Linked DNA regions of Alligator mississippiensis. The protein of the gene in region 1 interacts with the protein of each later gene in a pairwise test. Links are inferred from orthologs where the notes say so. Each region holds a gene or a part of one and is shown in the gene's direction. Other genes may lie near its edges. The genes, in order: POLDIP3 and ERH.

Region 1 (15,443 bases):
AGGCTGTGCGGGCCTGGGTGGGCATGGGGCAGGGGGAGGTGAAGGCGGGGGGTCACAGTGGCAGCTGTTGTTGGGGCTGGCTGTTGTTGGGGCCGGGCAGTGGAAAAGGAGGGGAGCAGGGAGGGGAGGAGAGGGGAGGTGGCGTAAGTCCTGCTGCAATGTGGAGGCGGGTGGGTGGAGGGAGCCCCCACACTGGAGGTTCGAGGAGGAGGTGGCGGTGGTGGAGGGAATCTTTACATGGCTGGCCCCAAAAGGGTGAGCAGGGGCGGAGGCATGTAAACAGTCCCTGAAATCCTTCATTCTTGATAGGCAATTGCCTAGTATATACATATAGGTTTTTATATATATATACATTCTAATTTTATAAAAGCCTATGTCTGTCTGTCTGTCCGTATTTATTCGTGCTCAGATTGGCTGATGGAAACAGCCAATCAGAGTGCTCCAAGTGCAGGGGACCGCCACCATGATTCCAAAGCCACGCCGGGGACTAGACAGAGGGTGGGGGAGCCAAGGCTTTGGCTCCCCCACCCTGCTCCCTGCAAAAAGCAGAACAGCAGCAGCATGGGGCGTTAGGTGGCAGCACTCCACCCTAGCCCCCTCCCTTCCACCCCCGTTATAACTATATATATATATATATAGTTATATAGTTATATAGTTATATAGCATCAAGCAAAAGCTTTTCTTCACGCACCTTAAACCACATTTAAAGCCCGCATGCCCGTTACAATAAACACACCTGGTGACCTGTGCTCCCATATACCCGTCTGCAGTCCTTCCCCTAACCCAACTGCAGTCTCTTCGTCCTTGCCCCAATTTTGAGGTTTACATTCTCAGTTCATTCACTGTCATTGTCAATGTTGCTTCCACTGTTGCTAACCCTGCTGCTGTCATCATCACTTTCTCCAGGTCCAGTTGTGTCACTGTCCTCTTCATTATCCCTGTCCACTCCCCCTCTGGGGGTGGATCTTTGAACAGCGTGTGTCAAGTGTTCCTTTGCCAGGTGGAGTTGGATGCAGCTTCTCCGTCCTCTCCCACCCATTTCCAGTAATAAGACTGAAGTTCAAACAGAAACATTTTAACGCAGTCTGTTTCCTCGAGTTCCATGTGTCTGTAGCCCAGAAGTTATACTCTGCTGTTGTTTTCCTTACCAATTTAGGACATAATCCTCAGGTGAGGGAATATGAATGCTGCTTTGGCTGTAGACATTTGACATGTTGGGGTGAGGACAGTACAAGTAACTCATGTTTGAGAGATCAACCCGTAGTTTGCGGTGACTTGCAGCCTGCTCACTGCATCCCCATTTTTAATGTGTTCTGGTGCTGAAAACACGACACACAAACTGTTCCCAGAATTGTGCAGCCCAGTATGATTCAGAGGAATTAAGGGAATGTCTTGCTGCAAAGCATCATGGTCCTTCTCATTCTGATAAGTGACCCTCTTATCCTCTTGACTAAGCCAAGCTAAATAGATGTTCATCAGTACAACAAGCCTATTCTGTCTAGGCACGAGCAAAGATGGATGGTGCCCTCCTGAGAGGCAGTAGCAAGGGTAAGCTTATTAGACAGATCAGCATAGTTGCATGGAGCAGTGTGAGGATTGCATGGGAAGCCACAAATGGGTGGTCTTACAGTTTAGGGGATACAAACCAAGATTGGAAAATTGACATTTTCCAGAACCAAGCTTCCAAGGGAACTTTTAATTCCCTTCAAATTTAGCTTACCTGACAGGACACTTGGCCAGCTTCTGGGCCTGTGTCCATAGTGCCCAGTTCCAACTTGGACAAAATCCATCACAAAAACAATTTGCATCATCCCTGGCACTGTTATTGCTAGTGAAAGATGTTTTTAAAAGAGAAGAAGGGTCAAGAAAGGACCTGCACATTACAGAGTCTCATTCAGTCTGAGCATAGTAGCGTATCAGCACCAGCAGTTGTAAAACACTCCTTTGGAATATGAATCCCATATGTATGTACGTGTGGTGGTGGGGAGCAATGAAATTAATAAGTGGGCTGGAACACAGGTTGGTTTGCTAAGATTTGTAAGACGAAAATAGATGTGCAGAAACTAAAGCTAGAAGAAAGTAAAAGAAGCTAAAAAAACAAACTAAAACTAAAAGAAAGCCTACTAAAAGAAACTAAAAAGACTAAAAGAAACTAAAGGAAAGCCTTAAAGGAAACTTTAAGGTAAACTTGACATTTTAAGAATCGGGCTCAGGTGATCAAAGGTATTTAGACAACTATCTGTGTCCTTGCACATCTTCAGCATGCAGCAGCATCCCCAAAACTACCACTCAAGTGCCCCATATCCCTGTGGGCACCTAAATTTGGTGCCTACATTTCTATGCTAGGCAGCTACACTTCTGTCAGTGGGCATGTAGAGTGATGCTTCAGCACCAACACCACCCCACAGTTCAGAGCCCCAATTCAAACCTTAACTTCAGGGGCCCTGAAATAAGATTCTCACCTACCTCACCAGGAAGGTCTGTTTGCACCCATGTTTGCATCCTTCACCCCCAGAGGGATCTAGTGTTTCAACTACTGACATGGGATGTGAGAGACCCAGGTTCAAGTACCTGCCTGAAACAGAAAGAGAGAGAGAGAGAGAGATACCAATACTCTGACACTGTAGTTACAGCACTCAAATGGCTGTAGGAGACTGAAACATAAGCCCATGCTCTAGCAAATATTTAATCATTTATAGAAAGCTAAGCAGCTCCAAGGGAGAGATGGAGAGATACTATGTGGAATAATGTGCTGCTGGTCTGGTACTTCCCTGGGATGTAGCAGCTGTATGAGTACTTGCTCTAAATCAGACATGCTTTCTCTCTCAACTCTCAGGTGACTGCTCCAACCAGTAGGTTACTGAGTAGGTCTCCCTCTCCGGCTCCCTCCCCACCTCTCTCATTTTAGGCAGACTGGGGGAATTAGGCCCCTTTAGCTGCAGGAAAGGTTCATGGCTCAGGATCCCAAGGGGAGGAGCTATGTGCCTAGCCAGACAGTTGCTTAAGTGTCTATGCCCAACTCCCTTTTATTTCACTCCGCATCTCTTCATTGTTTCTATACCTTGCAGCTACCTTGAAGCAAGTGGAGTTGTGTCAACAGGCCCCCCTGGTGGAGAAGCAATGAATGCCAGCAGAATTGGAGCTTCCTGCTGACAAAACTACAGTTTCCTCAGTATCTAGTGAAGCACGTAAACCTCCACCAGCAAAACTTTGCCTTCCTGAGCCACCTACCTGCCCCCCTGCTTTGGGTATGGAGCTGGGATGTGTAACCAGAGCAGAGGAGTTCACTAGATGGAAGGCCTCTAAAAGCCAGGGACTGCGATGCCTAAGTGTCTTGGACGATCTGGGCTTATGCGCCTATATGAGAATGACCCTGTACCATGGAGCTCTAGCAGAACATCATCAAGGAAAGTGCTTTGGGAAGGAGACCCCTTTAGTGTTGTGCCTGGGAAATGAGGGGAGATGCAGAGACCTCTCTCTGTCTCTCTCAGGAGTTCTAAGGACTGTGGGATGGAAGAAGGTAAGATGCTGGAGCAGAAGCAGTCTCATAGGCTTTTTTTTAAGTAAAATGTTTTCTGTTCCAAACCAGATCAGCTAAATCAATTCCAAATCTGTGAGTCATTCAAGAACCATATGTGGCCCTACTACCAGCAAATGTCCCCCACCCCCACCTGGGGTTTCAGATGTTTCCAAATCCTTTGATAGGCATCCTATGTGCAGGCCCAGGCCTGGAGGCTTGGGCTTCGGATGTCTCTGGGTTTCTCTTGCCCTCAGCCATCTCAGTCTCATAGGCCTTGGAGACCAGGCACCCCCCAGTTCCTGAGAAGAAGGAATGTTAGGGCTGACTCCGTTTCCTACTTTGTTGGCATATTTCTAGTTATGGTAAATTGGCACATATATATTTTGCCAGCAGCTCCTGTTGGTTTGAGGTTCCTGCAGGGGAAAGGACAAATTGAATTGTTTTTTAAACAGGTTTAAAATAGGGGGTCTGGATTCTTAGCCCATCGCCTGGATTCATTTTTCTGACTCCTTTGTTTGTGTTTGCCTTTCTCAGCACTGCCCTCCTCCCTGCTCTCTGCCCTTCCCTCCTGCTTTTGTATTCAAATTTTTCTGTCCTTATACAAAGCTTTGGACATCTCCTTTCACAGCATCTAAGGAAGTGAGCTCCAGCCCTTGAAAGCTTGTCTTTGTATGTATGCATGTATGTATGTATGTATCTAGGCACATGAAAGATAACATGGAGCCCACAAGCCTCTGCTGTTGTTTGATAATGCAGAAGAGATTTCCCTAACTTAAACATCAATGAGAGCAAAGTCAGGGTAGTTTTATACCCTGTAGACCAGGGGCAGGCAATAATTTCCACTGAAGGGCCACTTAATGAGTTTTGGTGAGCTGTCAAAGGCTGCAGTGACAAGTGCCCCACCCCCTGGTTGCCATTTTGGAACTGGAAGTCCCACCCCCTAACCCCTGACCTTTGCCGTCGGAGGTCCTTCCCCTTGCCTCCAGAAATACTTCTTTTGGGAAGGGGGTTGGCCATCTTGGAAACAGAAAAAAAAACCCAGGAAAAAAACCAAATTATATACTAAAAATCAAACATTGACAATAATATTTTAATTTTATTTTTTAAATATTTTTGTCCTGATTTGTGTGTGTTTGCATGCCATATATAGAAGTGAATGCATAATATCTCAAAATGAAGTCTTACTCTTGTATATTGCAGGCAGGGGTGTGGAGGGGTGGGGGGAATATGGGGAAGTGGGTTTGTGAGGGGCTGTGGGTGTGTTTGTATGGATGTGTATGTGGGGTGTGAGGGAGGGTGTGGGGGTTTGTGTGGATGTGGGTGGGTGGGTATGGGGTGTGTGTAAGAAGTTGTGTTTTTGTTGATGTGTGGGTGTGCGTGGTTATGGGGTTTGTGGGGGTGTGTAGAGGGGGAGGGTGGCTGGGGTGTGTGTGGTGGGATGTGTGCACGTAGCAGTGAGCAGGGCTCCCCCCAGAGGCATGTGGGTGTGTATGTGGGGACGGGTGGGGGGTTTATGGCAAGGTGGGCAGGAGGGTGTGGGTGGGTATGGAGTTTGTGGGGTGTATGATTGTGTGAGGGGGAGGGTGTGGTTGTGGGGTTAGTTAGGAGAGTTTTGGGTATGGTGGGGTATGCATGGAAGCTCCCTCATGTGCACCCCTCTGAGCCAGTCAGCATCCATCTCCGCCTCACAACAGCCTGGAGCCCACACACCCTGCAGTGTGTCCCCACCACCGCCAACAGCACGCAGCCCCTGCCCCACCCCAGCCCGCCCTACACCTGCACCAGACTCACCTCCGCAGGAGTGGATCAGCTGGAATACACACGCACAGCCCTGACCCAGCCCACCCATGGTGCATCCTGCTGTCCCCTGGGCATGCAACAAGACTGGGGCAGCTCCACAGCTGGACTGCCTTTCTAGGCAGCCCAGGCAGCAGCAGTTCCTTCCGGGTGCTGCCACTGCTGGCCCTAACCCCACAGTACCAGTGGGGACCTGCACACCGCCCCAACCCGGACCACCCCACACCTGCTCTGAGCAGTGGCAGTAGGTGAGCAAAAACTGTTGCTTGGCATGGGGAGAAAAGCAGCCCGTCCCCCCTCCCCCTCACTGCTGCTGGTCACTTCCACCCAGAGCCTGCACTGGGCTGCCCTGTGGCTGGTCTGCATTGTCACTGCTGCCCTGCTGGGCAGCCCAGAGGCACTAATGACAGCGGCGGAGACAAATACAGTGCTAATGAATGCAGTGAAAACTAGTGAAAGCACTGGAATGGTGATGGGTGCGGAGTGCAAATTTTGCAGGACTGGCCCCTCCTACTCTGTGAAACCTGTGGCTGCAGGGGGCTCTGCAGCTATGGGGCCCCCTGCATCCAGCCGCTCACCATTGCCCTGCCACTGATGCCAGCTTCTTTGGCCACTTGCCACGCCCCCCCCATGCCACTGCTGCTTGCTGCCAGCTTCTTCAGCCACTCACCCTCACCCCCACCCTCCCCACTGCTGCTGCCTTCTTTGCAGCAGGGGGCCCCAAAACTATTTATTGCAGGGAGCCCCAAAAAATTGTGGGCCAGCCCTGGAACTTTGTAATGGAACTAAAATACTTCAGCTGTTAAAGTGTGTTTTGTTCTGTCAAGTGAACCACAGTGGTCACCTGACAGGTTGTTAGAGGTACAGTTATATATATATGTTTTTTGCAAAAAAAAAAAAAGCATGTGTCTGTGTGTATGAGAACATGTATGTGTATATATAGGTACACACACACATTTATATATATATATATATATATATATATATATATATGCATACACACTTCCTATATATACTTTTCATATATTTTATTAAAGTATATAAAGGTAGTTTTGTACCTTATAGACTAACCAAAATGTGCCTGTGTTTGTATAGAGTCCTCTGTGTGTGTACACATTTATCTCTCTCACTCTCTCTCTATAGCTATCTATCTCTATATTTATCTAGAGAGAGAGAGAGAGAGCGAGCGAGCTATGTAAATGATACAGGGGTGTAGGTTGTAGCCGTGTTGGTCTAAGGACATAGGCAGACAAGGTTGTTTGGGTGAATCTGATATCTTTTATTAGACCAACTTAAATAGTTGGGGGAAAAAATTTAGCAAGTTTTCGGATTTCAAAACCCTTCAACGGGCTGAGGCAGTCTCTGCAGCTGCTGTGTGCTCTTCCTATTCATTCCATCCAAGAAGAGCACACACCAACTGCAGACTTCCTCAGCCGGATGAAGGGTTTTTAAACCCGAAAGCTTGCAAAAAAATTTTTTTTCCAAGTACTTAAGTTGGTCTAATAAAAGATATCAGATTTACCCAAAAAACCTTGTCTGCCTATATAAATGTTATGTGTATACAGACACACACACACACACACACACACACACACACTTTGGTTAGTCTAAGATACAAAACTACCCTGCCTTTTCATATATTTTATGAAAGTACATGAATATATCTGTATATACAACAATACAGGTTGTAGCCGTGTTGGCGGATTTACCCAAAGAACATTGTCTTTCGTGTTAGGATGTTTCGTATTTCAGGGGAGGATGCTGATAGAGGGGATCCCTTGGGCAAAAAATTTCTCCCGTGCGGAAAGTACACAAATTCGGCCGAAGCAAAGAGAGGAGCTCCCAATATGTTTAAATTTGCTTCATCTCCAAGCTACCACCACTATCACCTCCCCAGCAAACTCGCGCTGATCCCACACTATTTTTGCTAACCAGATCAGGGTGGTCGGGCAGATCGCTGCTCCCGGGCATCCCGCGAAGTAGGCGGGTCACCCTAAGGACGACCTGTGCCCGCACAAAAATTCCTCTCACATTAGCAGTGAGAACCCGGGCGTCACCCCGGGTCGTTATTTTCCTTACTCATAAGTTTAAGGCATACACCTACGCTTGCGCGGCGGGGTGGCGGCGCTCGGCGGGTTACCCCAAGGTCACGGTGAGAGCGGGGGCCTACCTTGTAAATTAGTTTCTGTTTAGTTTCATGCCACTCATCCCGTACCGACAGTCGAACCCGCGGTCTCCCGCAGCACTCGCAGTTTTCGGGCAGGAATATGTGCAAACGCGGTGCTTCGTTATGCAAATATAGCCCTGCGTGGCCGCGGGGCATTCTGGGAGCTTCCACGCTCCCGGGCAGGGCCGCGTGACGCGTGCCGTGGTCGCTACCGGGGGCGGGGCTTGTGGCGGAAGTGCTCGGTCTCGTTTCCAGGTCTCGCTCGCTGCGTCGGATCCGTGGGCCCCGCGGCAAGATGGCGGACCTGTCCCTGGACGAGCTCATCCGGAAGCGCGGCGTCAACGCCAAGGGCAGGTGAGCGGGGCGGGGCACAGCGGGGGTCGTGGGGGGGCGGCTCACCCGGCCCCAGCCTCAGCCCCGCTCCGCCTCAGGTCCTGGGCCAGCGCCGCCGCCCTGACTCGCACCCCGACTTCCCATTGGCTGCGGCGTTGGCCTTGGGGGGCCTGTTTGGATGCTGATTGGCTGCGTTGGTTGTCAGTCAGGGCGGGGGAGAGCTCGTTCGGTTCACCCTGAGACCCCGGGGGAGGCGGGGATCCCCCTCCCGCTCCCCCTGCAGCCCCGCTGTGCTGGGGGGGGGGGGCGTCCAGCCCAGCTTCAAGCGGGGTGCCCTGCCCTGCCCTGCCCTGCCCTGGCTTCCCCCAGCCCTGCAGCCGCTGTTAGTGATGGGGCCACCTGAGCTCTTCTCTCCGGCCGTTGATCCTTCTGTTCTCACCCCCCAGCCATGGCTTTGTCCTGGCTTAGAGCTGAACTAGCCCCTACCTCCTCTGCCCACATGGGCTGGTGTTAAGGCTGTGGGAGCTGCTCCCTATCTATTGAGTGGCCGTGGCTGGTCTCCCCCGTGGGCCTCCAGTTGCCGATGCCCTCGGTGCAGCCGGGAGCTGTGGGCTCTGGAAGGCTTCGTGAGGTGGCAGGGAGTGAAAGGTCCTGGCTGTGAGAGGACAGGTTGGGCTTCTGGGGCAGCCTTCCTCTGTGCTGGCAGCTGTTCAGGAGGACCTGAGAATGTAGCTTCAAAAGCCTACCATCTCCTTAACCGCCCGTGTGGTAGCCCTCCTACACACCCCTTGAGGTGTGGCTGTGGGCAGGGCCCTAGAACAGGTCTTAGCTCAGCAAAGGGCTTTGAAGACAAGGCCTGTAGTCTCTTGATTCTGCTGCTCCGCTGCCTCCTTTTTTTGTAGCCCTTCACCTTCCTTTTTCTGCATCGGTTAACCCTCCTCAGGGATGCCTGTGGGTCTCTTCTCTCCTTCTCTGTGTGTCTGGTGGTACACAGTCCCTGTGATTCTGGTCTGAGGGCAAGCATAGGTTTGAATTATTCTAGTTTAGCCCACATGAACATCTACAGGGATTTCTTTGGGCGATCTCTTTTATTGGACCAACTATATACTTTCAAAAACAAGACTTTCTTCATCAGACATTCTTGTCTTTTAGAAGGCGATACCTAAGAGGTAGTAGCAAGTAGCTTCTCGTTTACCTTTAAATCCTAGATGAGGACTCAGCCTTGCCTTCATTTGTGCTATGCTTGGAACAGTCTCACGCTGCTTAATATGCTTGGCATCTCGTGGCTCCCCTTTCAAATCCCTTCTTAACATCCATTTCTTCCAGGAAGCTTTCCAACCTTCTTCTACTCAACAATAATCTCTTGACAGCAACCTGTACTAGAGTGTTGCCTTTCTCTTGTCTTTCTTTTATTTATTGTGCATGATTTAGAGTGCAAGCTTTTTGAACCAGCTAGCATGCCTTACTCAGTGTTGGGCAAACAGTATATTTGTATTGCAGTATAAATGCTATTAAATATAGTCACACAAAATGGTAATAAAAAATTGAAAGCCTAAACATAAAGTGTGCTTGCGCACTCATAAGCATGATGATGATGATATTATTGTTTTGCTTTTTAGGTATTGAGGAGGATTTGTAATAATAGGAACTGATTTGGATGGAGTAATGCTGTTTAAGGGTCTCCCTTCTTAGGACCCCATTATGCTACTCTGAGAGTGATTCTCTACAGAAAAGTGTTCTTTCCCAAATCACTCTTCTTTAACTATGACTCTCTTAAAAACATGGGTTTAACTTAATCCCTAGTGCAGAGATTCGTGCCTGATTTTTAGCAGCTCTGATTAGGGAACAATGTCAGTCATCCTGCTCAAATGCTAAAACAGGGTATCAGATGACTTCTGTTTTTATTTTTGTTTATTTGACTCCAATCAAAAAGCAATCTATTCCTTTTGAACCCATTTAGGGATTGTCATATTGTTAAAGTATCCTTGTCTAAAATGATGGGGAGTTTTGGTGGATAAAACGCCTCTTTTTTTCCATTGTTCACAGCACAGCTCCCAAAAAAGCATGTTTTGAAAAACTTCACAGGCCACCAGTGCACCTAGTAGTCAAAGGCCTATTATCATGTCATACACCTCTCTAACTTCCTTTCACATATTTTCTGAATATTACTGACATCAGATCTTTATGATATTGCTGTCTCTTAACTGTTACTCTGGCAGTGTGACTTGGTGAGTAAGACTGATAGTAAACCATAGCAGACATTTTTTTTTAAGAAGCATTTTCATTACATTAGCCCATTCATCAGTTTTCTACCACTTCAGCCTTCAGCATGTTGAGTCAGATAAATTATATACTGATGTTTGATTGCTAACTACAATCACTGATTTGTGGTGTTGATCGGAAATTTTCAAATGTTCCTTGATTAGATTTGAGAAACAGCCACTTGGTGAATTCGATGTGCTGAAGGTCAAAATATGAGATGAGCCACTCAGCTTGATATAGAATCAGATCTCTAGTTGCTAGCCAAAAAAACTTTGCATGTTTTCATTTAAGTATTTCATAGTAATGGAAAGATTGGGGGAAGGGGAGAATCCCTCTCCCAGTAAAACCCCAAAATATTCAGACATCTGTCCAAAAGGTAAAATGGAACTTGACACAACCAGCCTTTGCTAATAATGTTTTAGGTGGGCAAGAGGGGACAAGAGGTGGGCAAGATGGTACTGGAAGCTGACCATCTTTTTTTGGTCCATGTTCTTCCTCTTGGTATCTAAATATGCTTCATCTTTCCCCCAGTGCTCTGTTCCTAAAATCCTGAGGGGAGGGACTTCCTTCTTGCACATTTCCTACACAGTTTGTGAGATTTGGTGTTCCACCATTGAATGCAAGCAGAGCCTGGTTCTGAAATGCAAAGCTGCTTTGGATTTTTTTAAATATTTTTGCCTAAAGTTAAGTAGAATAGTTAAAGTCACGCAGAGTTATGATCAAGTCAGAAAATGCCACAGTAAAGTTAACATACAGAGCCTGGCTTACCTCATTGTATGTTCTCATGATGGTAGTCATTTCTGAAATAATGCAACATATCCTACAAGGTTTCTTTCAGCCTTGGATTTGCCTATAAAACATCTCTATAATACTAAGAAGTCCCCTTCAGAAAGGCAGTCAAAAACACATCAAGCTTAACCCATTATGGGGAGGTAATGAATCAAAAAGCCAGTAGTGGGGGAAAAAAAATTTCAGTACCATAATTTTAAAACTAATTTTCTCAGTTTTATCACCTGCCACTGAATCTGTACCCATGCTCCAAAAAACCTATGTGGGGATGGACACATGCAAAGATTCAGGCAGTTCAGTTTCTGTTTGGGGAAGTTAAGGATAGTGAAATCAGGTTCCTACTTGTTAGCCTTCACCTTGCTTCTCATTAATACCTTATAGTTGCTTGTGCTTCTTCCTCTGTGAACTTTTATTCTTCAGTATTGAGTAACTTAATCTATGAGTTTGTGCTTAAAAATTCAACCCAGGGAATTTAAATATTTTTTGCCAGTAGCTTAAAGCAGAGGCAGTCACAATTGCTAGTGATGTAGATGTTTCTGGCTTCGGTTCTGTTTATGCATATAAATGCATGGGATTCTAGATGGGACTGTCTCAGGGTTTGATTTTTAGTTTTTTGTAAAACTGTTGAAAAGTTTCTATTAATTCTATAACCTGCTTATATTGGGTCTGAAACTTCTTTTCCAGGCTCAATACCAGGCCAGTATTTGGAGGTGTCAGATCGCGAATTGGGATCCAGCAAAGTCTTCTAAGTAGACCTTCAGCAACCATCGGTTTCCAGCGGACTTTTGATGCTCGGCAAAAGATTGGTCTCACTGATGCCCGACACAAACTGGGAGTTAAAGACGCCCGAGAGAAACTGGTTCAAAAAGATGCTAGATTCAAAATCAAAGGGAAAGTGCAGGATGCCCGTGAAATGCTGAATTCCCGCAAGCAGCAGAGCGTGGCTGCTGAGAAGGTGACCAAAGTGGTTGATGCCAGAGAGAAGATCAGCTTAAAAAGGAGTGCTCCTGCCATTATGAGCCCAGCCATGGGTACAGTGAGCCCAGCCATGAAAATCACCAAAACTATTCAAGTAAGTCACCCCCCTCATACCACACATCCCCTCCGTGCTCCCACCCCCCAACCAGCTATCCCATTACAGGCTAATTGAAACATTTATACTTAGAGAAGTCCACATGGTTACAAGCCAGCCCTACGTGAAACAAAGTGATACAATTGAATTAAGTGAGAGAAGTTTTTTAAAAAATTATTATTTTTTAATTGAATGAAGTGAAAAAGGTCTTTGGAACCAAGAGTTCTAGTTGTTTTGTATGTGAAAAAAGTGATGCACTTACATCTTCATGCTTGGTTTTAGGAGCTCTGAGAATTTTTGGTACCCCTTGTGCTGTGTTGGCGGGGGGAATTGTAAAAACAAGATTTTACCTAAGAAAAATGCATTTTTTCCCTTCTAACTGCCAGTAACTCTCTCCGTGTGTCAAGGTCAGATTATCTTTCTGAGTCTGTGCAGACTATAGTTGATACTCTGTGAGGTTTGAACATGCTTAGCTCTTCCAGTTAAAATCCAAGGAAAATGTAAATATTGTTACTAAGCCTTACACTGCTGATCATCTTTGCAGAACCCTTCTAACATGCTTGCACATCATGGCTGGAAATTCTGTTAATTAGGAAGTACAGCCCACAACCATAACATTTTTAGGTTAGACTCTGTATTTATATGCATCTTATTGCATTCTTTTTGGCCTTCAGCAGAACGTAGCTTCCTCTCCTAAACTCCAGTCTTGTTCCTTGTCCAGTACAAGGGTACTGTTTTACCATGAAGGTCCTAAGCATTAGGGAGTGGCCTAGTTATTCAACACTTTAATGCTGGAATTCAAGTTCTGTCCCAGTTTCAGTAGAACTGCTGACTGCCCGCCCAGCCAGTGTTCCTCTGCCCATTGATTTCTGACTTCACTTGTCATGCGTATTTTCCCATTTGTCTGGCAGCTTGAGTCCTAACTGATTCTTCTGGGCCCCAAAGCCATGTATCAGCTGCAGGCTTGTCTGTTGAAGTCTATAATGCACAAAATGACAGTGAACAGAAACAAACCTCTCTGAGGAAAAAGAGAATGCTGGATGATCAAGAGGAGAGGAGTGAGCAGCAGACCATGCCACTTGCAAATTATGATACTCTAATCCTGATCCTGGTTATCTGCTAAATCATTGTGCATCTCAAGACAAATAATATAGCTATCAACACCTCTTGTTAAATCGGCAGGCCAACAACTCCCTTCATTTGCTTCCAGCCTTTGCTAAGAAAAATCCCTATTCCCTTGAATTTAGGTGGGGATTTACTCTGTTTGGGTCCCATTGACCTTGGTCTTTGCTTAGCTTTTTCTTCAAAGCATCAAAATGTGCACCTTTCTCCCAAAAGTTAGACAACTTGCACATTACCGCTTCAGATTTCCCTCCCCCAGATAGCAGCTCACAAAACAAAAAAGCTGCCCATTCAGTAGTTTTCAGATTAGTCAGTTAAGGATGCTTGCAAGTGTCAGTGAATGATTGGAGCAGAGTTGGTGCATATGGGGCTGTCAGCCATGTGTTTGAAGGATTTAAGTATTTTCTGAAAAATTAGTCCAGCAGCAGTGCACTTTAAAAATATCAGTCATGTCAGTAATGACTTGCCTCAACTGTGCTGCCTTAGTACTCTCTCTGTGTAAACAAGTGAGTGCAAGGTCACACAGTGACAAAAACCGCAGGTGAACTCCTACATATGAACTAAGATTCTTGATGGGTTTTTGCCAGTTTCCAGCTCTCTGCTAATGCCCTTTCTCACAACCAGAACAAGAGGAAATGAGCTGAACTATTCTGGTTCTTTTCAGGCACATGGCTGCATTGTTTTGATTTGGTCAGATCTCATGCTATGAAGACGAGATCTGTATGTTATCATCATTACTTGACTGAGACCTTCAGCAAAATCTTGAGGTGCTGCTGGTAATATATTAGGGCAGATTTTTCTCTCTGAATTGGAATCATTAAGTAACTGAATAATTAACTTAGACTCACACCGCCCACTGTTGCCAACATAGTGGCATGGGATGGTGGGACACTGGTTGAAGGCACAAAAATAATGTAGTTATCCATCATTTGCAGGCCTGCAAATTGGAATCACTGGCAAATCAGAACAGAAGGATGCTGTACCGCAGGGAGCTCTTCTAAATTAAATGCAGAAGCCATGCTTTGACTGTTCATGGTGACTGAAGGATCCCATGCTACTGTAGCAGGAGCCAGAGGATTAGCCTCACTATCTTGGACAAATTCCAAATTGTTCTCAGGGCTGTTGAACTGCTCAGAGATATAATAGTCCAGAAAAGAACCCTTCAGCAAAGCTGTACACCCTGGATTTTTCCCAGTTGCACAAGGCAACAGGTAAAACTGCTGAAATGGCCAGCAGTGCCGTCTTGTGCTGCACTTCATTCAAGTAAAATGTATCCCAGCTTTACTGTGAAAGAGAACTTGGTACTTCACTCTTGCTACAGATTTGAGTTAGTTGAGCTTGCATCCTAGAATGCAGTTTCTAGGGAGTACCATAAATGTGGTTATATACCATTTGTTCCCTACAGTGCCAAAGGATAGTGGCATGTGATCCCCATTGCTTAACCACATTAACTAATTCGTATTTATTTATGCACCAATCCGATTGTAATAGCGTTCGAGGTTTTTAATTCATTTCCTGCTAATCTTGAACCAAAGCTTGCATAATTTGTGCTATAAATCCTCTGCCTAGACCTTAGCTTTTAATTCCTTTATGTTGATGGGATGGTCTCTCACACAGAACATGTACTACAGAAAAAAAACTACATTATTTTTGTGCCTTCAAACAGTGTACCACCATCCCATGCCGCTGTGTTGGCAACAGTGGGAGTGTGAGTCTAAGTTAATTATTCGAAGGGAATGAACTAGTAGCTATCCTTTTTGAAGATGCATCAAAACTATGTGTTGATGTTAATGCTTTGACTGGTTCTTCTTTCTGGTTTTGCAGCAGAAGGCTGCAGCTCCAGGACACTCTCATCCTACGGGAATGAGGATCAACGTAGTGAACAACCACACACACAAACAGGTGAGTGAGTACTGCTCTTTGGCAGCATGGAATTGCCTGCTTGTTGCTATGGGTTTTTTCCCACGAGGATTGGGTTGGAGGGGAGGGGAGGATTCGAAAGTTCAGTCACACAGCTTATTCAGATCCATGTGTTCTTGTGCAGAATCATGGTAAAATAAATGGGATGTTTCTTGTCCTAACCATGTTATCTGAACACCAGTGGGTATTTTTGACCTTAGCCAATCTAATCTTTTTCAGGATTCTTTGTTAAGTTCCCCTTTATGTTCCTTCCTTCTAGGCTCATGTCATAAAATAAGTGGTGATTTCACACCAGATCAGGGATTTATTCATCTCCATCATACTGTCTGCCTGCCTACCTACATTGTATCTGATCAGAAATGATTAGGTGTGCTGTTGAGAGGGTTTGCTTTTAGAAGCTCTAGATGTTGGCCTTGATGAAAGCAGATGTTGAATTTCATTGAGTAGTGTTGTTGGGTAGT
Region 2 (15,841 bases), on another chromosome or scaffold:
GAGAGGTAAATGGATGAAGGAAGAGATGCAAAGGACAGGGATAACAGGGGGCCTAAAAAGACAGCATATTTCCTCAAAAGGCAATGAATGCAATAATACAGCATGGATTTGAAAAAGCTTATTACTAAAGGTGATATTCTTCTCTTGAATTTTGACATGCATGAATTTTTCTGTTCTGAATTATGGGAAGTACATAGTCCTGCCTACAGATCACAATTAAACATGGAAGTTTGCCCCCACTACTTCAAATGAGTTTCAAGTCAGGATACAACTTTAAAAAAAGCACCTGCCTCTGCCTGCCCCAGAAGGCACGAGGAAAGAGAACAAGGAAGTCAGTAAAAACTTGTGCTTACATAGGCTAGAGAAGTACACACCAGATGGCCAAGTTACTTGTTGGTTTTTTTTTAAGTATGAAAAAAACCAGAAGTCCCTATCTACCTATCTTTTCAGCAGGCACCTTACCCACAGACTACAGTGCTGTGGCAGCCTGGAGGCGGCGGTGATGATGGCAGAGAGGAGCCATAGGGCAGCCCAGGCACAGGCTCTGGGCAGCTGCAGCAAGAAGGGCTCAAAAGCGATGATGGGGTAGGGCTGATTTTCCTCTGCACTGAGCAGCAGCTTCTGCCTGGCTGCCATCACTGCTCAGCACAGGCACGCGTTCCAGAGCAGGCGCAGGGTGGGTTGGGGTTGTGCACATGGGTTCACTCCAGCCAGGGCAAATCCGGAGTGGGCACAAGGTAGGCCAGGGTCAGGGTGGGGGCGATGTGCTGTTGGCAGTGAGGAGGTGCAGGGTGTAGCAGGGTAGATCTAATTTAAAAATCAAACAGATTTAAATTACTGGTCAGGAAGCCTTGATTTAATCATTGTTTTCTACAAAAAGTGCATTCTTGCTTAATACATATTATTCACAACTCAGAGATAGATTTAGGTTTCATTTCTAGAAGGTACACTCTATACCAGTGGATCTCAATCCACCAGTAGATCTTGGAGCCTCTTGGAGTAAATCTGAGGCTGAGGTGGGGGGCTGAGTGCCCACATGCATGCATGCACACGCCCCAGCCCAGCAGGTCAGTCCGTGGAGGAGGGAAGGGGCGGGGGCTGGATCAAGGCCCCTGAAGTGAGGGACAATCCTGCAGAGGCAGGAGCCGGGATAAGCTCAGTGGGGCCCTGGCCAGGTGGGACTTACCTGCTGGGGAGGCATGCCCCCAAATAATTTTTTCTCCCTCTGCCTCAATTTGCCACCCCCCTCTTCCCTCCCCACACTTACCGGGGGAGGAGGTGGGATCGACAAACAGGGGGGACGGTGGTGGTGCATAGTAGATCTTGGGTTGCTTTTAAATGCCAACGGTGATCTCCTACTTAAAAAGGCTGGAGACCACTGCTGCTCTATACATTTTCAAGCATTAATTTATTTTGATATTTTTTCAGATCAATTTTGTAGCTACATCAGAAAAATGAATTGTGATTCATTTATTGTATTTACCAAAGTTAATTGAAGCAGATACTTGTGAAGTCATTGGGAGGTAAATGATCTTCAATTCACTAGATTAATCGTGGATATTTGGGGGACACTTTTGCCACGGTGTATTAGGAAGACATCAAACGAGCACTGCAGCCATAGTTATTAGCTTAGGGCTTTCTTCACCTTCTTCTAGATTTCTTTTCTCTATTACAGTCTGGCAAGCCTGTTGCCATGATAGGTCTCTCTTCTACCATACCATTCCCTCACTAGTTCTCAAATCAATGGAGAGGATAAACTCAGAAACTTTTCCCTCAAGACTTCTGGAATGTTCTGCTCAAAATGTTTCTCTTTTATTTGTACTTGCACTTATCTCCAGACTACTCCTCCTTGCCCAGATCTACTCAACCCCCAACAATCCTTTATTCATTTAACTTCTTGAAACTTTGCACTTTTAGAGAGAGGTAAGGGCTCGACTCTGTACACAAACTTGCAGAGACACAATAGGGTTTATGGGTGGGTAATCGGGTCTTCTCTCTCATCTCCATATACTGCTGTTAACAAGGATGTTATCTCTAGAGACAAAAATCCAAGTTTGAAAACTGGAACTAAGCATCACAGAGATGCTTAAGGGGATCTTCTAGACCAGCAGTCTCCCAGCGTGATGCCCACAGGCAATATGGATAAAACTTCAAAAGAATACAGAAGTAAAGCAAAGCTGCATTTTGAAGTTGTGGCTCTAATGCAATTTTAACTAATAGATGAGATGATCGGATTGATCTAAAGTCTAAACTTTAATACTCATATTGGCATCCACTGCTTTTTCTTTTAAATTCAAATGTGCCCTTGGACACACAAATGTTGGGAACCCCTGTTCTAGACTGAGCACTGAGTCCCACTGGATAGAGTGGTTTTCATTAATCTTTACTAATCTACAGGGGAGCCTCTGGGAACCCCGTAAGACTGGGCCCCTAATATAGTCCACGGCCAGTCATGACCTATTCATAAAACTTTTTTTAAAAGGTTACATGAATATATAGTCTCACAGAGAATATGATTAGAAGTTATAATCCCTATTCCATGACAATACCTTTGAGCATTAACTATCTTTATATAGGTTTAGTTTTTTTTAAAAAGCATCTTAACAAAAAAATAAAAAAATACAATTAAATAAAAATCTGACAAATAAAAAATACAATTATTTATTTTTATTATTTGTTTAATTGTTGATTTTTATCCACCCTGGCACACAGACTCCAAGCTGTTGCAAGGAAGGTGGGGGGAGGGTGAACAGCTTGCAGCAGCTCCCCAGAGCTACCTATGCAGCCCACAGTAGAAAAGACACTTGAAGATGCATGTCCACACACCCTTGCTTCAGAATTCCAGATATGTACTTCACGGATATTCTGCAGCTGTTAGGCAAGGACAGAAAGCTCAGTGAAGCCCTCCTGTTCTTTGTGCAGGCCGGAAACAATACAATGGGTCCACCAACATAGCAGTGGGCACCAATATCCCACTGATGACAATGGCTTTGGCAGGGAATAAGGTACCAGCTTGTCCAAGCATGTAAATGCCCGATCTCCTTAGAACTCCGGCATTGTGCACCTTGTCAGTATTTCCTCCCACAGGAGTTCACAAAGTGTGGACTACCAAGCCCTGGAAGATAAGGGGTCAATACCTTTTACAAATTAATACTCACAGGTTCCTTCAGGAGAGTGGACTATGGCCACTTAATTGCTAACCACAGGTCAAGTACATTCCAGTAAGCTCTATTTTCTGAAAGCATGCTTTTATTTAATTTCTTGTGCTCATAACTCACAGTAAAACTACCATTTTAATTTATTGGATTCTTGATACATTAAAAAAACAGGATGCAACTCATTCTGCACTGGAAAATACTGGGGTTCTAAACTACAGTGATAACAGTAGTAATAGCAAATGTCTCATTTGTGCAGAGTAGCAGGTGTTGCGCAAGATGCTGTCCTTACAACCGTTAGTTTTCTGACTGTAACTTCGAGTGAACAGGATCCCCTACAGCAAGGAATCCTTGATGAATGGACATGACATGTAAGAGTAATTGCAAGTTGGCCATACTTTACCCAATATATTGCCAAAGCTAAAACTTTCGATTTGAAAAGTATACTTAATGTTTTGTTAATTAAGACTCCCTAATGAAGGGTTAAAATTGGAGCAAGCACTGAAATTCCTGTTTTGCAATTAATATTATATGCTATAGAAGAGATCCAATCTCCAAGGTAAGTTCAAAACTAGATTTATGTAAATCATTAAAATAATTTATTTAAATGAAAGCCTGAACTAGGGAACTCCATTAGTTAAAGATAATAAAAGAACTCCCAGACGTGCCAGTATATAGTTTGTCAGGCTTGATAAAAGAAGTGATCCAAAGTTGCATAAATCCAGAATGCCATAATTGCTTTTGATTCTTCTAATGGGTAAAAAGTCAACTAACAGTGTTAAATAAAATATTAGTGAAGCATGAAAAAAGGGATTTGCCTTTATATAATTAGAGAGAAAGCCACTACAATGGTTTTACTTTCCCTAAATAAAGTGAGAAAGTACTGATCATCATCATCTGACATATGACAAAGCCAATGCTAGTTTATGACAATGTTACCAGTCATTTGCAAAGGTTTAGGGTTGAAGACTAAGAAAAATACTATGGGGCAAGCACTTTCAGAAATTAACAATTATCACAGCTACACAGCAAAATGATTAGGTTATTTTCACTATACAAATTGTACTTTGGCTAAACCAGCACAACTTCCACGTAGACATTTAATTTGAAAGGAGGCTTCTTTTTTTTTTTTTTAAATGTTACACACGTTTCTAATCAACATAAGCAAACTAAGATTATCCACACAGCCTTTAATGCCATTTCAGCTTAAATCAATTCTTAAAACACAAACCTTCAGTTAAACTGGTGCACTACACGTAAACAAGCTGAAGAATTTAACATAATTAAAGTAAAACCAGCATGGCTGAACATTCTGAAAAGTGGATGAAGTTTAGTTAACCTTACTTAGTTACTATAGAAATGGGAGCCATTTGAAGATCACTTATAGGCAGAAGTGCTTGAATTATATTGTGGTTAAAGTTTTGTGAAGTACACCAGTCCAGAAGTTAGAGAAAACAAGAGAATCATAAAGCCCACAGTCTCCCCCACAGCATATGTAAAAAGTGATCAGAAGTCACGTTCAGGACTTGGTCTCTCAAGTCACCACTCATCCCTGGCCCATGGAGCCATGTCATCCAGTCCACACGTCCAAAAATGTGGTGGTGGGAAGTACTGGCAGCAATTGCCTCTCCTCTGCTGCCAAATTTCCAGACCCATGGGGAGCCACATGAGCCAAACACTGGATTAGCACATGGAAGTGGGTTGTGGCCCAATCCAGCCACACAGGAGCTGGCTACAGGTGGCTAAGGACCGGATCCTATAGCACAGGGTCAAGCAGAGACAGCATGGGGCCCCAATCTGGTAGGGGCTTTAGGGGTGGTAGTGCAAGGCCTTGCAGCACTCATCCAGCCACCCACACCAAAACCAAAACAGACAAATTAATGACAGGTTCAATTTCCAATGTCTGATCTAGTGGCTCACAAGATACAAACACTTTCTCAATTTTCCAAAAGCATCTTACAGCATTTGTTTTTAATATTAAAAGGGTACAGGGACAGTATTCTTTAATGGTTATTCAGAAAGCCAATCTGATAATCACAGCTCTTGAAAATGCAGTTTGCCTTACCTTAACTTTTAAAAGTGATTAAGTATGCATACTAGTAAGTAAAATACTTTTATTTCATAGATTTCATACATTTTCATAGACATTAGGGGATGGAGGGGACCTCATGAGATCATCGGGTACAGCCCTCCCCCGCATAGGCAGGAAGTCAGCTGGGATCAAGTGACCCCAGCAAGAAATAAATCCACCTGTTTTTTGAAGGAGTCCAGAGTAGGTGCTTGCACCACCTCTGAGGGGAGTTTGTCGGCCCCTTGCTCACTGGCACTGGAGCCTGGTGCTGAAACATGTGGCCTGGCCAGCCACGTTTCAGCACCAGGGCGAGGGCCAACCATAGAGATGCTCTGGCAGCAAGAGTGTCTCCATGGAGGACCCAGCCTCCGGTTGCCTCAGGGAGCAGTCAGGGACTATGCCCTGCTCCACTTTTTTAAACATCGATTTTTTTAGACCCCTGGATATCCAGGGGTCTAAATTTTCTCCCTGCACTGCAAACTTGCAACATGGGGAACATTTTTTTGTTCCCACACGTCTGTTGCCCCACCTCAAAGGGGTTTGAGGAGGGGCAAAAGGCACGTGCGCGCTCGTGTGGACGCGCCCTTTGGGTCCAACCCTGTAGCCAGCAGTTGCCTAGCCATCGGACTGTATGATGATCAAGGCCACAGTTCCCCAGCTTAACCATGAGGACATCATGGGAAACTAGGTCAAAGGACTTCTTGAAGTCCAGATATAGGACGTCCATGTCATCTCCCTTGTCCAGGGTGCATGTTACCAGGTCATAGAAAGAGATGAGGTTGGTCAGGCAAGACCTACCAGTCACAAAGCCATGTTGGCTGGCATTCAGCAGCTTGCCATCCATTAGTCTGGCATTAATGGATCCCTTGACAATTTTCTCCAGGATCTAACATGAAAGACCATAAATATGCAACTTAAAACTGACCCGACCAAAGTTCTCTATTCTAAACTAAAAACAAATCTGCTCAAAATCAATCAACAGCTTATCAGTAACCAAAAACAAAACAAACAAAACAAACAAGCCCCCAAAAGACCTACATTCCTCCAAGATGTTAAAAAAATTAACAGTATTTTAAAAAAACCTCACAAGAAAACATATACCCATTTTTCCCTGAAGAAAAACAAGGTAACTATTTAGTAAGTGCTGCCAAAGATCATTAGTTCATCAGTGATAAAAGTTTGTGACTTAAAAACAATGATGGCATCCAACTAGAGGCACTAATGATGCAAAGGCTCATTTATATGCTTAACTTTAAGCAGGTGACTAGTCCTTCTGGATTAACGTGTGCATTTGACAAATGGGGGCCAAAAAACAGTATAAGGTAAATAATGTTCCCAAGATGAAACGTAGTGTACTTAATGGAGTCGCTCCACTTATTTTCATACATATCTGAATCTGAGAGAAACATGTGACTGAAAACAAGTGGAGCAACTCTACTAGGTACAGTACAAAATAAGCCTATAACACTAAGCCTACTTACCCCAAGGGGTAATTTTTCAATGCCTGAAATCTGTCCTAACAGTTTCTTCCTTTTAAGAGTACTGAAGTCTAATTTGAAAGGTACATTAGCATGAAATAAAGCATCAATCATGTACTCCAGGAGTAGAATTCCTTACTATAAGAAATTAATCAATAGCACCCTTCTTCCCTGGCATCTGTTGCAAGTTATAAGCAACAAGGCTTTTACTTTCTAGTTTAAACTCTTACAAAGCAGCTCCATTCCTGCTGGCTTTTTAATACATCAAGGGAGACTAAAAACGTTATTGTGACCCATTTCTTAAAACTCTGAAGTCCAAAAACATCATTCCACTTCATAATGGTGCATACGTTCAAAAAGCCTTAGTCAACTGTATTAAAGCTCTAACACCTAGGGCTACACATTGCCAGTATGGGGCACAATATAAAAAAGTAGTATTTCCAAAAAACCTGAGCTTATGCTTTAAGCAACAGAAAGCATGGGTGATTGGTACCTTTCAAGGAAAAAAAAAAAAATAAAAAAATCAAGCTGTAACTTCCAGTAAGTGTTCAAACATAGAAGTGAATCAGGAAATTCAGACCATTTAGTTTACCATATTAACACATCACTAACTGCACATAATAAATATTTGAGTAATGAATGAGGGTGTAAAGGGGGCTAAAAAGTTAAGTGATCTCAATTTAAAAAATGTAAAGCAAAAAGACTCTACTATTATAAAACTGAGTTGACGTTATAGATTAGTAAAACAAGCTCAATTCGAGGGGTGCTATATTCTCCCACATTAAAAGCCAGAGGTTTAACTCTTAATCCTTGTGATCTCCTTATTTTTAAATATGCCACTTCGTTGTGCGTAATCGTATTAACCAAAACAGCACCCTCAAACTTGACTGAGAAGTGACAAAAATAAATAGACATCAGTTACCTTTTAAGGTACCCAAGGGAAGTCAGCAACTAAACGCTCTCCTCTGCAAAATTAGTTAACACTCACTTGCTTCATTGTTATCAGTTTCAGCAAGGAAAACCAGGTATTTAAAGTTTATTTCTCAAGACCTGACATCTCTACTGACCCAGCCCCTCGCTGCTACCTCTTCAGCCTCTGCTCAGACGGGCGCCCCTCCACACCGCTAATCACCCGCGCTGCCCTTCTCCACCACTTCTTCGACAGCCTTTTTTCTGAAGCGCGGCGGGCACAGCCGGCTACAGTCCTGGTGCCCCCCTCAGCCAGGGGTTAAGCCAGGCACTCCCGGCTCAGCCCGAGGGTGCAGGGGCCGCCGGCAGCCCCCGGCGAGGCGATGGAGCCGGGACACGCGGGACGCCCTCACCTCCGAGAAGTTGACGGCCAGGGGGATGATGCCGGCCACGTAGCAGCCCACCAGCATGGCCAGCGACAGCAGGCTGATGGACACGAAGTCGTCCATGGCGACGGGCCCCGCGCTCAGGTTCCCCCGCGGCGCTTCCAGCGCTGCCGGCCGCGCCGGGGCCGCTTTCGGACCCCGCCCCTGCCCGCGGGGCCCGACCTCGGCCCTCAAGCTCCGGGCTCCATCTTGGCCCCGCTGAGGCCAAGTGGCAGCTTCTCGCTCTGGCGCTTGCTCCCTCCGCCGGATCCGCTTCCGGGTCACCCACCGCCAAGATGGCAGACCTCACGAGGCGCGACGGAAGGAAACGCTGCCTTTAGCAAACATGGCAGCCCGAGTCTCCGCTCCGGAAGCCTTCCCGGCATGCGCAGCGGCGGTCGCCCGCCAATTCTCGCGAGGTGCCTGGGCGGCGCTCTGGCTCTGTGGGAGGTGCTGTCTCTATGGTGAAAGTGGGCTGCAATGAGAAGGGGGAGGGAGGGAAGCCGTTTGGCGGTTGCTGAAGCGTTTCCGGTCGGCGCGGGGGATTGTGGGGGACGGTTGGGAGCTGCTGGTTCGCGCCGGGGGCTGTGGAGAGCGAGTCGCCATGGTGAGGGGGAGGGGGCAGAAGCGGGGGCGCCGCAGGGGCTTCGGCCGCGGGCCGCGGAGCGGGAGGCGGAGGGGCCGGGGGGTGCGGGGCGATTCTGGGGGGACAGTGCCGGGCTGCGCGCGCCATTTCCCGCGTGGGGGGAAGGGCGCACGTGGGGGGGGAGGGGCGGGATCGGGCCCCGCGGCGCACGTGCGGCCGGCAGAGTTTTTCCCGGACAGAAAGGCGGTCCCCGGCGGCCGCGGCCTCCCCGGGGGGTCATGCCGGGCCCCGCTCGAGTCTCAGCTGCTGCCGCAAGCCGGCTACGTCCCTCTGCTCGTTCCGGCTTGGCGCTGCTGCCGTATTTCCGTCCCCAGGCCCGGCCCACCTGACACTCGGAAACGTGGCTCCTGCCGCCGGCCCAGCCCAGCCTCCTGGGCCCCGAGCGCCCCTTTGGAGCAGTACCTGGCTTCTTTAAAAAAAAAAAAAAAAAGTGAAACTTTTTTATAAGAGACGTGCTGCTCCCCGCAGCTTTGGAGCCTGCTGCAGGAAGCCCCTGCTTCTGCTGTGCAATAGGAGGAACTCAAAATCCACTAAAAAGGTCTGCTAGGTAATCCCTGCCTGCACTTGCACTGAAGCGGTTGGCACAGGGTCTTTCCGCCCCACTTCCCTCCCTTGCTTGTTCACTGGTGGCAGTAGTGTAGGTGGGTTGCAGCTGGTAGAAACCTTTCTGCCAGGGTATGGAGCCTGACTGATCCAGCTGTCTGCACCGTCCCAGGTGCTTTTGTAGATGCATACCCAAATAAATGTTTGTCAACTTCCTTTAAACGTAGGAACTGCCACAATAATTCAGACCAATTGTGTAGCCACTGGGTGCTTCTACGCAGGTAATTGATATAACTGTATTTACTGTGGCTCAGTTTGAGCCAGAGTAAACTAATCCCAAAATCACTGTCTACATGTGCATGTAAGCACACTACTTTACTGTGCTGCTGGATACCACTTGTATCTGACTGGGCTGTCGGGTACCGCAGTAAATTAGTCTGCTATTCCCTAATCGCCATGCACCCGTAGATGGTGATGCTTTATTTAGCACAGCAGATTGGTCTGCTGCTCAGTAAAGTGTCTTATGTAGACGTACCCATTTCGCAGTTGTCAAAGGTACAAGAATCCCAATTTTGGGCAGGATTTCCCATCCCGTGTCAGTTTGTTCTGATGTGTGGTGGTGTGGATATACCATCTCTAACTGGGGATAGAGATTTTCATATTTCTAGAAAGGTTTGACCTTTTTTGTCTTAAGCCCCTATCTTATAGCAATGAATTCTGCAGCTCAGTTTAATGGGTTATTTTTGCTTTTTGTGTTGGAAAAATCCTCGTTTCCCAAAGTTGAGGGAAATTGATTGAAATGAATTGGAAGGAATCAATTGTGTGAAAATCGGGAGTTCTTTAGAAAGAGTTTATTAAATGACTAAAAGCCCCCAGTTCCACTACCAAGGAGCTCAAAACCCACCTTACTTCGGTGGCGAATCAAAAGCAGAAATTAGAAACTTAAATCCCAACACAACAAATGCAAAAGAAGAAATAGCAATACAGAAAATGGATATGGGAAGATAGATGTGGTGGGGGAGCAAGATTGGACAGATGATCTCTGGCTGGTACACCAAAATGACAGAGAGAAGCTAAATATTTTAGGAACAAAATAGGAAAATCTAGCAATAGTATAGACGCAATGCTTCATGTAGGCAGTAAATTGTTAATGGTGCAGAAGAGAAGTTTTTGGTAAATATTTTTGCTCTGCATTTTACAAAAAACAGGATGGTATACATTTATGAAAATATATAAATATTTCAGGAGTGTGAAAAAATACTTTCCAGTTAGTAACTGGGGAGGTTGTGCACAGGAAAATAAGGCTGGAAGGGACTTCATGAGGTAATCTAGTACAGCCCCCCTGTTCAAGACAGGATCTTCCCTGACTAAATCATCCCAGCCAAGTCTCTGTCCAACATTTGAGAATTTCCAGGGATGGAGATTTCACAACTTCTCTCAGTACCTGTTTTGATGCTTGACCCACCCTAATAGAAAGTTCCTCCTTTTTTCCAACCTAAATTTCCTTCACTGCAGCTCAGGGCCATTGTTCCTAGTCCTGTCCCCTACAGCTGCAGATAATAGTTTTTCCATCTTCTCTTTAATCATCCTTCAGGTATTTGAAGGCTGTTATCAAATATCAAATCCCCCTCAATCTTCTCTTCTCCAGACTAAATGTCCCCAGTTCTTCCAGTCTCATAAGTCTTGCTTCCCAGGCCACAAATCATTTTTGCCTAAAACTGGACCTGGTACACCAGGTGAGGCCTCGCCAGTCCCGAATGGAAGAATCCCTTCCTTTCACATGCAAGTGACAGTGCTGCTAATATGACATGAAATGCTGGGTTAGATAACATCTCTTAGAATAATCATTTATAAAGGTCTGAATAACTTGCACCCAGGGGGCACATACTCCTGTGTGCGTTTGCTGAAGCAAAAATAGCACATGTTTGTGCCACTGCTTTTAGTGGCTGTGCACGCCCCGGCTCATGGGGTTTGGTGTGGGGCAGAATGCCCCGCTTCAGGGAAATGGCTGTTTCCCCACTCCTCCCAGCTCATGGCATGCTGAAGAGGAGCCAGGGGACACCTAAAGCAGTTGAGACACTCTGGCTGGTAGCCAGAGCATATCCCTGGAGGACCCAGCTTCCAGTTGTGCAGCTTTTTTTGACAGCGTTTTTTTTGTTTGTTTTAATACTGAGAGTTCCCAGTATCAAATTTGCAGCGTGGCAAAGAGTTGCACATGCATCGCATGTGGTATGCTGTGCTTCAAACAGGTTTGAGGCACCACAAACCACATGTGTGCTCATCTGGACACCCCCTGAGATACTAAAAGAGTTGGCCGAGGACATCTCTGGCCTACAGATGTCACTTAAGCTTGGAATGGTGGGGAAATGACAGATGACTTAAAGTAGTATTTATTTAAAGTGGGCAAGTGGGATTACCCAGGTCATTATATGGCATCATAATCTGACACCAGTGGTGAATAAAATGATAAATGCTGATACAGGATAAAATTAAACAGCTAGTCTTTAATCTTTGTTAACTAATGCCACTCAGCATGGCTTTAGGGAAAATAGGTCTTATCAGATTCAACTCATTGTTTAATATTACATGTTTGTTTGACAAAAATAATCGTGGTTCTTATATACTTAGTACTGCATAGTAATCTTATGTAAAAATAGCAGCATCTGTTATCAAAACGCAAATTACATGTATTCAAAAATCCAAATAACTGTTTGAGAATCATAATAGAGACACTCCCACTCTAATTGGGGTTCTGTAAGGCTTGGTAATAGGCCACAGCATTTAACACTTTCATAATTGTTGTAGACGTACATAATCACTGCTTAAAAACAAAAATTAAAGATTGGCAGAATGATATTAAGGGGGACATTGTACTCATACAGAGTAATCTAGAGTGTTTGAACATAATGCTCTTCAGTACAGCTGAGTGCATAGTTATTTCCAGGAATAAGGAATGCTACAGTTAAAAATGGGAGTGTAACCTACACAGCAGTGACTGAAAAGGTTTTCTGGTATAATGAGTTCCCTTTGTGATGCTGTAGGATTAGGGGTTAAGACAAATGTTTGTTGTATAAATGGGAGCAGAGAGCAGGGACGTAAATTCTTCTAGAGAGGTAAGTTTGTTTGTTTTTCTCGAAATCCCCTCTATGCTATATCATTTTTTTGAGCCAGGATATCCAGAACTGAAAGTACTGTTCCAGGTATGGAATACTACTGATTGCTATAAAATAACCGTATAACACTTTTCCAATCCCCCCCCCTTTTTTTTTTTAATAAAACCTAGTAACACTTCTTTTTGACTCCTGCCAGATACTGAGATGAGGTTTTGATTGGGCTGTCCAAAAGGAGGTTGTGTCTCTTTCCTTTTTGCAATAATGTGTATTAGAAGTTCACATCTTTCCACTGTTCATTACTTTATATTTGTTAGTAGTAATTTTGTGTGCAGTATTGCTGTCTACTCACCTGACTTCTTTAGTGTTGAATTCAATTATCACCATTGGAAGCAGTGTTGTTTCCTGTGCACTTGCAAACTTTCAGCCATCTGTAACCAGTCACATAAAGCCACATCATGGAATATTTTTACTTTTTTGAAGTAGTCTCGTTATCTTTGTTTGTAGAGAAAATAGTATAGGAATAATGCAAACTACACACAGCACGTATGTTACATACAGTTGGTTATAGGTATGCAGTTTCTCTGGGAAACTATTTTTCGTAACTTAATCCACCATACACAGTGCAGTTCTCTATGCCAACAATCCTCTTTGACTAGATAGACATATTTTCATTAAGCAGTATTCTCGTAAGCTTGCGTTTGGAGTACTTAATTTCTAATACTAAAGTCATCCATTTTTTAGTTAATTTATGAACAATTTTCTTAAATAACAGTGTAGATCACAGTTGTGGAGCTTTGCACTCATGTATAATTCAGATTATAAAGATTGTAAATAATCTCTCATATTTTACGTGTTAAATTTCCATTTTGTGACATGGGTAATGTTGGTAAACTGAAGTTTGATTTCCCTCCATTTTTTCTACCCTCTTGCCTATTAAAATAAAATCCCTACTTGCTAACATTTATATTGGAAAAGTGAACTGAATAAAATGCAGATAGCATGGTTTTTATATGCTTTAATTTTCTTTAGCTGTTCTCTCGTATTTACAAAGAAGAAGCCTGATCCTTGCTTACTGTTTCTTGAACACACTAGGTTTTTTGAGTGTGCAAGGAAAACAAAATTGCTTTCTGGGAGTAATGCATATAATTGACTATAAATTTTTCAATTAATGCGACTGAGATTGGAAATAGCTAATTGCTGGTTAGCAGGAGGTACATGAAATACAGTGGTGCCACCTAGCAGATCTTTTTGCAATTTCTAATTCTTTGCTACAAATGTGAAATGTGTTTTCAGTATTGTAATGGCTTTCTGGGATTTTTCAGAAAGAAATGCAAGGCTGTTTTAAGCCCAAGCCATAATTATTCTTTGGATAATAGTAGTAATAACAAGAAACACAGAAATAGGATTTTTTGGTTGTCTTCTGTTATGTGTGAATGGTCAGCTGAAAGTTTAGTTTAGTCTTTTTGTGATTAAGATTAGTGATTTGCTCAAGTATTTATGATTTTTGAAAATTCTGAGTCAATGTTTTCTTGTTTTTGTGCAGTCTCACACAATTCTGCTTGTTCAGCCTACCAAGAGGCCAGAAGGCAGAACATATGCTGATTATGAATCGGTGAACGAGTGCATGGAAGGTAGGTGTCGTTACTTCTGCAATAAAAATGCTTTAGCTTATCTCCTTTCTTGTTAAGGAAAGTTGTTTCCATGTATTTTCTAAACTCACTAACTGTAAGAATGAGCAAAAATGCATTTTTAATGCAAAAAACATATAGAAATAACATTACAAGAATGGAAAGTTCATTACAAGGATCACATTCAGTTCAAGCAAAATTTATGTTAAAACAGCTCCAAATTACATTTGCTGCTTCTGTTTAGTCAGGGTCCTATTTTGATTTCATTATATTCCCAAGTCCTGCAATGAGAGCAGTGCCGTGCCAGGGTAGAACAACATTTCAGTGCAGAATCAGGGCCTAATTTTGTAAAGAACTACTTATTTCCATTAGCCCTGCAAAGTAAATACTGCTGAAAACCATAATGTAGATATTTTTGCCCTTTATATTGGCAACTAAATAAGGCTCAGCTGCAGCTCCTTTGTTTATGTAACGGATGATCCAGAAAGAACCTAGTTCAACTTACACACTTATACTGCAAAAGTCTGCAGCTGTGATAAGTGGAAGGAAATATTTCTTATAAATGGATATGAATTGCTGTGAATGTATTGGTGGCCTTTGAGAAGTGCTGAACATCCTGATCACCAGGGAACCATGTTTGCTGTAGAAAAACACGGATTTTCTCCTTTAAAAGAGTAAAACACAGGAAACTGTGGGTTTCCGCTCGCAGACTACAGAGTTCCAGCCTGATGGCGGGAAGGGCTGGGCAGGAGGAAGGCAATCACAGTGTGAGTGCGCATACATGCATATGGCAGCCAGGCAGCATGGGGGAGCAGCTCCCCATGCCCCCCCCCCCCCCCCCAATATTTGTGCACCCACAGTGGAGACAGGGCTGCAGCCTGGCTGGAACGGTATGGGGAGGAGCCAATTCTGCAGCCCAGCAGGTGGGACCTAGCATGGGGAGGGGAGAGCAGGATGGCAAGACTTGCTGCTGCCACTGCCAGGATCAAAGTGCCAGCTGCACCATCAACAGTGCAAAGAGTAAATGGGGGTGGGGTGGGCGCGTGCACGCGCGCACGCATGCTCTGTTGCCCTAACCTCCTTCTGCTAACAGCTGCTTGTCTGCCTGGCCACAGCTCTACATTACTGTCATGGCCCAGCTGCTGCTGCTATTCCACTCAGGCTGTGGCTGTACCTGAGGGAGTGGGGAGAGGGGCAGTACAGGGGGCCTGAGGGGAGCGGCGGCAGCGGCTGGGCAATGGCAGTGTGAGAGGCTGACTGAAAGGAATGAACACAGTATGTCTGTCCTGTCCATCTCCCCTCCCAGTCCATTGCTCCTGGCAGTGGTAGCAACATGTCTTGCCACCCCACTGCACTCCCATGCCAGGTCCTACCTGTGCCAGTCTGCCTAGGCTGCAGCCCCGTGCCCACTGGGCACAAAAGTCTGAGGGGGAGAAGGGAGGGTCACACGTCCCTCTGTGGGCCCCTTTCCCCCCGATGTGTCACCTATGGTCAAGCACCTCCCCTGCTCCACACACTGTGGGACTGGGACCTGGGAGTGGGGGTCTGTGGGTTGGGAGTGAAGGTCACTGGCAAGTACAGGACTGGGGGTTGGGAGTGAGGAGCACCAGCAGGGCTGGGGCAGACTGTGGCTTGGGAGTGAGGGGCACTGGCATATCAGGGCTGCTCAGATCCAAAAATCAGTTGGGGGGGACAGCTGCAGGTAGACCCATGCCCTGGGGAGCAAAGAGGGCAGAAGGAGCTCCGATTTTTATATGATAACAAAACCAAAATCAAATGCTGAAATGTATAGGTATTTAGAATTTATTTTATTATAATGATTGAGGCACTGGTAGGCTTCCAAATTGCTTTAAATTTGTAAATATATTGATAA

What was found.
Region 2: the proteins of POLDIP3 (region 1) and ERH interact in a two-hybrid assay, tested with the Homo sapiens proteins (2 studies listed by BioGRID, with this or other methods). The link is inferred for Alligator mississippiensis from reciprocal best matches to the Homo sapiens genes POLDIP3 and ERH.

Annotation. Positions count from the first base shown.
Region 1 is NC_081827.1:89,169,118-89,184,560, reverse strand, and holds the start of POLDIP3 (polymerase delta-interacting protein 3), read left to right. Parts: upstream 1-7,703; 5' UTR 7,704-7,779; coding exon 7,780-7,838; intron 7,839-11,552; coding exon 11,553-11,940; intron 11,941-14,886; coding exon 14,887-14,964; intron 14,965-15,443. UniProt on the Homo sapiens protein: Is involved in regulation of translation. Is preferentially associated with CBC-bound spliced mRNA-protein complexes during the pioneer round of mRNA translation. Contributes to enhanced translational efficiency of spliced over nonspliced mRNAs.
Region 2 is NC_081825.1:232,519,057-232,534,897, reverse strand, and holds the start of ERH (enhancer of rudimentary homolog), read left to right. Parts: upstream 1-8,483; 5' UTR 8,484-8,499; coding exon 8,500-8,502; intron 8,503-8,543; exon of another isoform or gene 8,544-8,642; coding exon of another isoform or gene 8,643-8,645; intron 8,646-13,883; coding exon 13,884-13,971; intron 13,972-15,841. Other genes in the region: SLC39A9 (zinc transporter ZIP9), read right to left, coding at 8,027-8,122. UniProt on the Homo sapiens protein: May have a role in the cell cycle.